Linked DNA regions of Arabidopsis thaliana. The protein of the gene in region 2 interacts with the protein of the main gene of each other region in a pairwise test. Each region holds a gene or a part of one and is shown on either strand. Other genes may lie near its edges.

Region 1 (3,758 bases), on a different chromosome or scaffold from region 2:
CATTTAAAAGATTGAAGATATAATAACATAGAAAGAAATTAAAAATGTTTGCTTATAGCTTGTAAGTTCCTTGTACGTGACAATGACGATATGAAATTCAGTTTTCTAAGACTCAAGCACAAACACTTAGCTTAGAATGGTCTCTTGCAAGCGCTCTATGTGAATAAGTTATAAAGTGTTTGCTACATGTTTTGCTTTTTCCGGTAATTGTGATTTCAGCTTCTGGGCATTGACTTATATACATCCTAATCTAGCAATACATAAAGGTTTTTAGATTTTGAAAGGTAATATTCGCATGCTCAAAAGGTAATATGCAAAATTATATGATAGTTTTTGTTTGTTTGTTTGCGGTCGCTAGCAACAACGACCATCAAAATACTTTGTTAACTGGTTTGCAGTTGCTATAGCATAATTCAATCGATGCAATATATTGTTATCACTATAACTTGTCACTATTGCTAACGATTTCAAAACGATCATGATTTGATCAAATCTATATCACTGATGACTACAAACAAAGATTAACTACGACTAATTTCGATAATAAGGGACAATGAAGAGATCATCGAAAAACAGATATTCTTGGATATTTTTCGTTAGTTATATTCGAAAGTTTATATTATATTTTCTAGCAAACAGGAACAGGCCCTCAATCATGTTCGACCAAATTAGCTGCCAGAACTGGTTCTCTTTGATAACATTTGTTTATATAGATATAAGAATTTGTTCAACATTTATTTTAACTATTAAACAAAATTGAAAGGGACAGGCGTCATAAAACAAACAAATAGTATTACGTATACAGATTTATGTGGATCATGTGATCTCTTGTAAGAATGGGTAAATAGAATCATCTAGGTCTTATATATTGAAGCGTATAGTATAAAGTTCTGGAAAACAGATATAACAGCCATACCAAACGTTTTATATGCCTACTTCTCCACGTTAGTCTTATATAATGCATTTCTTTTGGGTATTATATGCCTATTTTTTCACGTTAATGAGAATTTTGGGTTTTCGTGTAACCCACTCATACTATTGAAGTCGTGTCCACATTTATGTTCCAGTGACTTTCTAATTACTATTTAGATTACTATATGCCCATGTTGCTCAGGATACCTATGTGATAATGTTCCACATATAAGCTTACTTATTTCTTGATAATCTCTCGTAATTTAAGTTGTGCTCTCATGTTTTCAATCGAAATCGAAATGGCATACGTAAAATTTTATGAACTTTTCAGATATAGTCAGTTAGTAATGAGTGAGTAATATACTTGAGAGATATATATTTGGTTTAATCAAAATTTAACTTGTATTTTTGTTGCTTAATTCAAATATTTTCCTTTTATAATACTTTGCCACTTCTTACTCGTTTGCTAATTAAATATTTTGCCACCTCAAGTATGTGACTGATTCTGAACAATTTGTTTTTGTTCGATTGATTATGGAGGACAAGTACTGAATTACATCCGAATAATGTGACTTTTTCTCTTGCTAGATATACTTTTTTTTTGTAAAAATCTTGCTAGATACTTTTTTTTTTTTGGTCAAACAATCTTGCTAGATACTTAAGTATCCAAAACATGTTATTTTGTGGTATCTCTCAATAAAAAATATCAACCATCCTCATTCCTCCGAAAAGAAATGTTTTCATTTGTCAACAAAAAAAGATAACGACAGTTTTACACTAATAAAATAAAATAAGACAATATTGTAACGTTAGTTTTAATAAGATAGGTACGAGTTTGCCGCTTTGGCACGATTTGGACAGCTAGCTGCTCAGTAACAGTCAAATCTAATTTTGCACGTACGTTATTCGCAACACTAATTACGCCTATAATGATTTCAATCCCTTAAGACCCGTGTAACTAAACCCAAATAGTTACTTAAAACTCTAGAAAATAGCGAATTTTCAAACTACCTTAAGCCCCAAGAAATAGATATAAACATAATGAGGAAGAAAAATCGAGAAGGGTTTTTGTACAACTTCCTCTCACCTACCCATTTACTTTTAGGTTTGTACATTACATCAAAACATACAAAACCCAGAAGCTATCGTTAGATACTTAGAGATTACCTACTATATTGACCATTTCGTATCTCTTTCATTCTTATAATAAAAAAATATCTCTTTACTTTATAGTAGTCTCTTCTCTCATTCCTCCTATATCCTATTCGTGTCTTCTTTGTGGGTATGAGCTATATAACCCACATAACCTGAGAAGATTAAGACAAAAATACATAGAAAATGTCTGGCTTGCTCGGAAAATCATCTCCGGCCAAACGGGTTGATGGCAACAATGATCTTCCTATGTATTATGTAAACCCGATGTCCGTGGAGCCTCAAGGACGTCCAAGCGACACGACTAGAGTCTCTGTCACATTCGCCGAGCATCTTATGAACGTGGAGGATGCAAGGAATGATGAAAGTGCAAGTAGCCGGGCTCTGGGAATTGCCTCACCTATCAATTCTGCTGCATCCTCTTTCAATTCATGGGCCTCTGCTCCTGCTTCTTCTATATCTTCTTCCCCGTTTGTTCTTTCATTCACTGACTTGACCTACAGCGTGAAGATCCAGAAGAAGTTTAATCCCCTCGCTTGCTGCAGAAGGTCAGGAAATGATTCCTCGGTGAACACTAAGATACTATTGAATGGTATTTCAGGTGAAGCCCGCGAAGGGGAGATGATGGCGGTTCTTGGAGCAAGTGGGTCCGGTAAATCAACACTGATCGATGCATTAGCCAACCGGATCGCAAAAGATAGCCTCAGGGGATCCATTACCTTAAACGGAGAAGTTCTTGAATCAAGCATGCAGAAAGTCATATCGGCTTACGTGATGCAAGACGACCTTCTCTTCCCGATGCTTACCGTGGAGGAAACTCTAATGTTCTCTGCAGAGTTCAGGCTCCCTCGTTCACTCTCCAAGAAGAAGAAGAAAGCAAGGGTTCAAGCTCTGATTGACCAATTAGGCCTAAGGAGCGCTGCAAAAACCGTGATTGGTGATGAAGGCCACAGAGGAGTGTCTGGAGGAGAAAGGAGACGGGTATCAATTGGAAACGACATAATCCATGACCCAATCATCCTCTTTCTAGATGAGCCAACCTCAGGGCTCGACTCTACAAGCGCCTACATGGTTATCAAAGTCCTTCAGAGAATCGCACAAAGTGGCAGCATAGTTATCATGTCAATCCATCAGCCTAGTTACAGAATCATGGGTCTTCTAGATCAGTTAATCTTCCTTTCTAAGGGAAACACAGTCTACAGCGGCTCACCAACACATCTCCCTCAGTTCTTCTCAGAATTCAAGCACCCAATTCCTGAAAACGAGAACAAAACAGAGTTCGCTCTCGATCTCATCCGAGAGCTGGAATATTCTACAGAAGGAACCAAGCCACTTGTCGAGTTCCACAAGCAATGGCGAGCAAAGCAAGCACCAAGCTACAACAACAATAACAAGAGAAACACCAACGTATCTTCTCTCAAAGAAGCGATAACCGCGAGTATCTCAAGAGGGAAACTCGTCTCTGGAGCAACGAACAACAACTCATCAAACCTAACACCATCATTCCAAACATTCGCCAATCCTTTCTGGATTGAAATGATAGTAATAGGCAAACGTGCTATATTAAACTCAAGAAGACAACCAGAACTCCTCGGAATGAGACTAGGAGCTGTAATGGTCACCGGAATCATCCTAGCTACAATGTTCACTAACCTAGACAATTCCCCAAAAGGAGCACAAGAACGTTTAGGATT
Region 2 (3,179 bases):
TTAATGGAGATTTTTTGTGATTTTTCCCCGGAGAATTTTGATGCATGTGTACTATTCACCATATAAACGATGTTGGGTTTTTGAAATCGAGCTAGTTTTTTTTGGTTTTGTCTCCTCCATGAGGGGACAAAGTGTCAAAATTGAGCCTTTGGTATCTTGCCGTGTCTGTTTTTGGTTAAGTCACATGATAACTGGTAATCGATTTTGTTACTCGTTCCATGTGTTGTAGATTCAACAAAAGTCAGTCCATATAGAGATGTAAACAATGAAGGAGGAGTTGGTAAGGAAGATCAGTTATCTTTGGATGTGAAGGGTTTGAATCTAAATGACCAAGTCACAGGGAAGAAAGCACAGACTTTTACTTTTCAAGAACTTGCAGAAGCTACGGGAAACTTTAGATCGGATTGTTTTCTTGGTGAAGGAGGTTTCGGAAAAGTTTTCAAGGGAACTATAGAGAAATTGGATCAGGTACTTGTGACAAAGAAAAATCCTATCTGTTTTTATCAATTGGCTGTGAGATTTGTCATAGTTTTGAACGGTTGGTGAAACTTGGTTCTGCTGCTAGGTTGTTGCAATCAAGCAACTTGATCGTAATGGGGTTCAAGGAATCAGGGAATTTGTGGTTGAGGTATTGACTCTAAGTCTTGCTGACCATCCGAATCTTGTGAAGCTTATTGGGTTTTGTGCTGAGGGTGATCAGAGACTACTGGTGTACGAGTATATGCCGCAAGGATCCCTTGAAGATCATCTACATGGTATGTTGTAAGATCAAATTCCTATCCTTTGCCTCTGTATTGTTTGTCTCGCAGCTACCCCCTTTTCTCATCTAACTTTTACATTGTTGTTTTGACTGTTTCAAGTTCTCCCTTCTGGTAAAAAGCCTCTTGACTGGAACACCCGGATGAAAATAGCAGCTGGTGCAGCAAGAGGTTTAGAGTATCTGCATGACAGAATGACGCCCCCTGTGATTTACCGAGATCTTAAATGTTCGAATATTTTGCTTGGTGAAGACTATCAACCGAAACTATCTGACTTTGGGTTGGCTAAAGTAGGACCAAGCGGGGATAAAACCCATGTCTCGACAAGGGTTATGGGAACGTACGGATACTGTGCTCCTGACTACGCTATGACGGGTCAGCTCACATTTAAATCCGATATATACAGTTTTGGAGTAGTCCTTCTCGAGCTTATCACCGGAAGGAAAGCGATTGACAATACAAAAACGCGTAAAGATCAGAATTTGGTTGGATGGGTATGTTTTGTCTCTTGGCTGTGACTCATAATAATCTTTACTGAAACAAGACTCATATTTTCACGGTGCTTTTTAACAGGCACGACCATTGTTCAAAGACAGGAGGAACTTCCCAAAAATGGTTGATCCATTGCTTCAGGGACAATACCCAGTTAGAGGACTGTACCAAGCACTAGCAATATCAGCAATGTGCGTTCAAGAGCAGCCTACCATGAGACCAGTGGTATCTGATGTAGTATTGGCTCTCAACTTCTTAGCCTCTTCTAAATATGATCCGAATAGCCCTAGCAGCAGCAGCGGGAAGAACCCTTCTTTTCACAGAGACAGAGATGATGAAGAGAAAAGACCACACCTCGTCAAGGAAACTGAATGTGAAGGGTCCTCATAGGATATCCAATAAGAGAGTGGTAAAAAATCAAATCTAATTTTGGCTTCACCAAGAAATTGGGGAAAAATATAAAACCAACTCAGGTACATTTTTAACATCTATTGTGGATGTAAATCTTGACTCGGCTTCTTTGTATGTAGAATGTTTCTGTTCTGTAGAAAAGGAAAAAAAAAAAAAACCATTTTGTTTTGGGACATATATACATATATTGAACAAAAACAAATATCGTTGGTCATATATATATTTTCCCGATCAAAAAGTCTGGTAAATTAGGATTAAGTAATGTCTAAAAATTCATAATGATGAATGGCAAAAGTCGTAAATATGTAATAGAAATAGGACTATGATCACGTGATGCAACTTATCCCGCGTGAACCCGTTAAGATTTTTGCCGTTAAATAACCAAAACCTAATCCAAGAAGGCTTCACAAATCTCTTCTCTCTTATCTCTCTCTACTGGTTTTGTGATTCTTGGAAGAGAAGCTACAAGATAAGACAACAATGGCGGAAAGATCATTCTCTCAGCTCCCGATCTCTTCTTCTCACATTGGCAGAAGGACAGGAAACACCCGGAGAGGGATATTTCCGGTATCGGAGTATTGGATCCATGCAATTCCGGTGATCGTTTTTCTCTGTTTCTTCACCCTCTGGATTTTCTCCCACTCAGGTTCCTTATTTCTCCGATTCTTTAATCTAAGAAAAGATTTTCCCGAGAAAATGAGTCTTTCTGATTTTGGTTTTGGTTACAGTGAGCGTCATGAACGATGGAGAGATAATGTCGATACATCGTCTTGAGAAATCCATGGCCGTGAGAAACGAGTCTCATGTCAGTTTAGCGATTCTTGCTTCCTCTGCTGTTTCACCAGCCTCCTCAGCTCTCGTCGCCGTCGTCTCTACCAATCAGAATCTCACAACTTTTCACAACGCAACTCAATCGCAGCAAAATGCAACCCAGTCGGTGAACAAAGCAAAACAGCCACACGCAGTCTAATCTCTGAACGGAGAAAAGTTTCTTTCAGTTTCTTACTGATTTCTTTCATGAACAGATAACTTTCAGGGATTGAATTTTTCTTTTCTTTGTATTTGCTTCAGTTGAAACAATAGTTTTTGATTTAGGATTGAGAATTGTTTGTGAACGACGATACACAGAATGTTTTCAACAAATTGCATAGTCATTTGAAGAAATCTTTAGTGAGTATATATCTGAATCTTGTTAATGCTGCTGAGGATGTTCAAGCTCACTGATCTCTCCATCTGCGCAATTTCCGACCCAAATATACATCGTTTGGTTTCTCCTACTCGGCAATACTCTGCAACAATCCCTCCTCGGTGACTGCACCAAACACACAATTTTAACATCATGTTATTTCAACACCGGTTTATTATATGATCTCAGCCGGTTATCTCTGTCAATTCACTAGCCAAAACCAAACCGGTATGACTATATTTGATGCAAGTTGTTAATAATGAAGCAAAGAGAAGATGTGGACCAACCTTGTGCCATCGGAGGGGATCAGGTCGCTTGAGAACGACGACTGA
Region 3 (3,758 bases), on a different chromosome or scaffold from region 2:
TCTGAGGCCCAAATCTCTCTCTCTCCCCTCCGGAAATCTCCTCGATTCCTCCGTCACCACCGTACCGTAACCGAGACTGGTCGCAATGTTGTCGCTCAATCTATCTTTGAAACCCCAACATCTCAAGCTCTTATCTTGTTACACGGATTCGTCTGCTCCTTCAATCGCGAAAAAGGTACCTACACACTTGCTTCTGTTTCTTAGTTCACTTCATATCTTGAATTTTAGGTATCTCTCTACTTTGTACAGTTGATCAAGGAATCAAAGCTATCTAGGGACTTCAGTCAAAAGATACAAATCGTAGACTACGCTCCATTAGTTCAAACTTTAAGCCAGAGAAGATTACCTGATGTAGCTCATGAGATTTTTCTCCAAACGAAATCAGTTAACTTGTTACCAAATTACAGAACCCTTTGTGCTCTTATGCTTTGTTTTGCTGAAAATGGGTTTGTTCTTCGAGCACGTACGATTTGGGATGAGATTATAAACAGTTGTTTTGTACCTGATGTCTTTGTAGTCTCTAAGCTTATATCTGCTTATGAGCAATTTGGTTGTTTTGATGAAGTTGCCAAGATCACCAAGGATGTTGCTGCAAGGCACTCGAAGCTTCTTCCGGTTGTGTCTTCACTTGCTATATCCTGTTTTGGTAAGAATGGACAGTTGGAACTGATGGAGGGTGTTATAGAGGAAATGGATTCAAAGGGAGTGTTGTTAGAGGCTGAGACTGCTAATGTGATTGTTAGATACTATAGTTTTTTCGGTAGTTTAGATAAGATGGAGAAGGCTTATGGCCGGGTTAAGAAGTTTGGTATTGTGATAGAGGAAGAAGAGATAAGAGCTGTGGTGTTAGCGTACTTGAAACAACGGAAGTTTTATCGGTTACGCGAGTTTTTGTCAGATGTTGGTCTCGGTAGAAGAAATCTTGGAAATATGTTATGGAATTCTGTATTACTGTCATATGCAGCTGATTTTAAGATGAAAAGCTTGCAGAGAGAGTTTATTGGAATGCTTGATGCGGGTTTCTCTCCTGACCTTACCACCTTTAACATTCGCGCTCTTGCGTTTTCTAGAATGGCTCTCTTCTGGGATCTACATCTCACTCTTGAACATATGAGACGTTTGAACATTGTTCCGGATCTTGTGACTTTCGGATGTGTTGTCGATGCATATATGGATAAGCGACTAGCGAGAAATTTGGAGTTTGTATACAACCGAATGAATCTGGACGATTCTCCTCTTGTCTTAACTGATCCACTTGCATTTGAAGTTCTGGGGAAAGGGGATTTCCATCTTAGCTCGGAAGCTGTTTTGGAGTTCAGTCCACGGAAAAACTGGACGTATAGAAAGCTAATTGGAGTTTATCTCAAGAAAAAGTTGCGGAGAGACCAGATTTTCTGGAATTACTAGCTACATGCCACATCTTTGCTGCAAAGACCGTCACTCTTTGCTCACTATCACAATCCCCCTGATAAACTTTTCCGATGCTTGAAATGAAACATTGAGGTTAGAGAGTCTTCTTGCTACTAGATTTACATATAAATCATACATGCCTGTATTTACAATGTTTTATTGTTAAATAGATATGTATATTGAATTACATACATATTATTAATGCACATTTTTATCCGGAGTTGTGGACCATAGAAAGACATATTGACTCCTCAAAGTAAATTCTGCATGTTACATTGAAATCATAGGCTAAATTTGAGATGCACTATTTTTAGAAAGTGTAGAGAAAAGGACAGGAAGAAATAAGCGAAAGCTTTGGTAAGCCACCAAACCTGATTACTGGAAGAAAAGAAAAAAGTTCCGAGAATAGAGTTAGATCGCTGGTGAGGGTTTTAAATGGAACACAACAATGGTTGTTTTAGAGTGTGTTATTCTTTTGTATTTATACCTTCTCATAGGTTTCTTGTAATACACGCTTCTTCCTCTCTCTCCCTCTCTCTTATGGCCTCGTCTTGAAAGCGTCTTGCATGCTAAGAGAAGGCTTTAGAGCAAGGAGAGAAGGGAGAAGTTGATTTATACGTCCATCGGATATATCTTCTTTTTATATCTGTCTCTCTTTTAAGGAAGAAAAATGGCGACTGAATTCTCGTGGGATGAAATCAAGAAAGAAAATGTGGACCTTGTAAGATTTTTACAGAGTTTAATTCGTTCTCGAGATCTTGAACTGTTGAAAATCTGTAATAATTTTTGAATGATTTATATTATAGGAGCGGATCCCTGTGGAAGAAGTGTTTGAGCAGCTGAAATGCTCAAAAGAAGGTTTGTCCAGCGATGAAGGTGCTAAAAGGCTTGAAATATTTGGGGCAAACAAGCTTGAAGAGAAATCAGAGAACAAGTTTTTGAAATTCTTGGGGTTCATGTGGAATCCTCTCTCATGGGTTATGGAGTCTGCTGCAATCATGGCTATTGTTTTAGCTAATGGAGGAGGAAAGGCGCCGGATTGGCAAGATTTTATCGGTATTATGGTGTTGCTTATCATCAACTCCACCATAAGTTTCATCGAGGAGAACAATGCTGGCAATGCCGCTGCTGCTCTCATGGCAAATCTTGCACCAAAGACTAAGGTATGCAAATTTCTCAATACATATATATAGGTATGTATTTTCTAAAAAGGAGAGTTATATAACCTATGTGTGAATGTAGGTGTTGAGAGATGGTAAATGGGGGGAGCAAGAGGCTTCAATCTTGGTTCCGGGTGATTTGATAAGCATCAAATTGGGTGACATTGTTCCTGCTGATGCTCGTCTCCTCGAAGGAGATCCTTTAAAAATTGACCAATCTGCTCTTACTGGTGAATCCCTTCCAACCACCAAACACCCAGGAGATGAAGTATTCTCTGGCTCAACCTGCAAGCAAGGTGAGATTGAGGCTGTTGTCATTGCCACGGGTGTCCACACCTTTTTTGGCAAGGCTGCTCATCTTGTTGACAGTACCAACAATGTTGGCCATTTCCAAAAGGTATTTTAGAAATGAACAACATCTGAGTACTGTAACTCTTGGTCTACCTAGGGTCTCACGGCTGGGTTTTTATTTTCCAGGTTTTGACATCAATTGGTAACTTCTGTATATGCTCAATTGGATTGGGGATGTTGATTGAGATATTGATTATGTACCCTATCCAACACCGCACATACAGAGATGGTATTGATAATCTATTGGTGCTTTTGATCGGAGGAATCCCAATCGCCATGCCAACAGTTTTGTCTGTAACAATGGCTATTGGATCACATAGACTCTCTCAACAAGGTGCCATCACCAAGAGGATGACTGCAATTGAAGAAATGGCTGGAATGGATGTTCTCTGCAGTGATAAGACTGGAACTCTAACCCTTAACAAGCTCTCTGTCGACAAGTCCTTAATTGAAGTGTTCCCAAAGAACATGGATAGTGACTCAGTTGTATTGATGGCTGCAAGAGCTTCCAGGATTGAAAACCAAGATGCCATTGATGCTTCCATCGTCGGAATGTTGGGTGATCCTAAAGAGGTACGTACTTCATATTTGTGAAACTTGGATTCATTTTGTTTACTGTCCTTATGTTGCAATTGTTTTTGATGAAATAAATAGGCAAGAGCAGGAATCACAGAGGTGCATTTCTTGCCCTTTAACCCTGTAGATAAACGTACAGCGATCACATACATCGATGAAAGCGGAGACTGGCATCGGAGCAGTAAAGGAGCTCCTGAGCAGGTAATGTAACTAATATGCTTGGTTTTACTTTTAATTTAACTTACTATCTTTATCTGAGTA

The links.
Region 1: the proteins of AT1G07860 (region 2) and ABCG2 interact in a protein complementation assay, tested with the Arabidopsis thaliana proteins (one large-scale study listed by BioGRID).
Region 3: the proteins of AT1G07860 (region 2) and HA8 interact in a protein complementation assay, tested with the Arabidopsis thaliana proteins (one large-scale study listed by BioGRID).

Annotation. Positions count from the first base shown.
Region 1 is NC_003071.7:15,674,315-15,678,072, reverse strand, and holds the start of ABCG2 (ABC-2 type transporter family protein), read left to right. Parts: upstream 1-2,152; 5' UTR 2,153-2,250; coding exon 2,251-3,758.
Region 2 is NC_003070.9:2,428,394-2,431,572, reverse strand, and holds AT1G07860 (Serine/Threonine-kinase RLCKVII protein), read left to right. Parts: upstream 1-2,141; coding exon 2,142-2,307; intron 2,308-2,347; exon of another isoform or gene 2,348-2,389; coding exon 2,390-2,631; 3' UTR 2,632-2,662; downstream 2,663-3,179. Other genes in the region: AT1G07870 (Protein kinase superfamily protein), read left to right, coding at 230-468, 566-755, 861-1,252, 1,332-1,630, 2,195-2,307, 2,390-2,631; AT1G07850 (transferring glycosyl group transferase (DUF604)), read right to left, coding at 2,854-2,973, 3,135-3,179.
Region 3 is NC_003074.8:14,722,229-14,725,986, forward strand, and holds the start of HA8 (H[+]-ATPase 8), read left to right. Parts: upstream 1-1,874; 5' UTR 1,875-2,080; coding exon 2,081-2,131; intron 2,132-2,216; coding exon 2,217-2,573; intron 2,574-2,652; coding exon 2,653-2,967; intron 2,968-3,047; coding exon 3,048-3,494; intron 3,495-3,575; coding exon 3,576-3,698; intron 3,699-3,758. Other genes in the region: AT3G42630 (Pentatricopeptide repeat (PPR) superfamily protein), read left to right, coding at 86-175, 250-1,407. UniProt on the Arabidopsis thaliana protein: The plasma membrane H(+) ATPase of plants and fungi generates a proton gradient that drives the active transport of nutrients by H(+)-symport. The resulting external acidification and/or internal alkinization may mediate growth responses.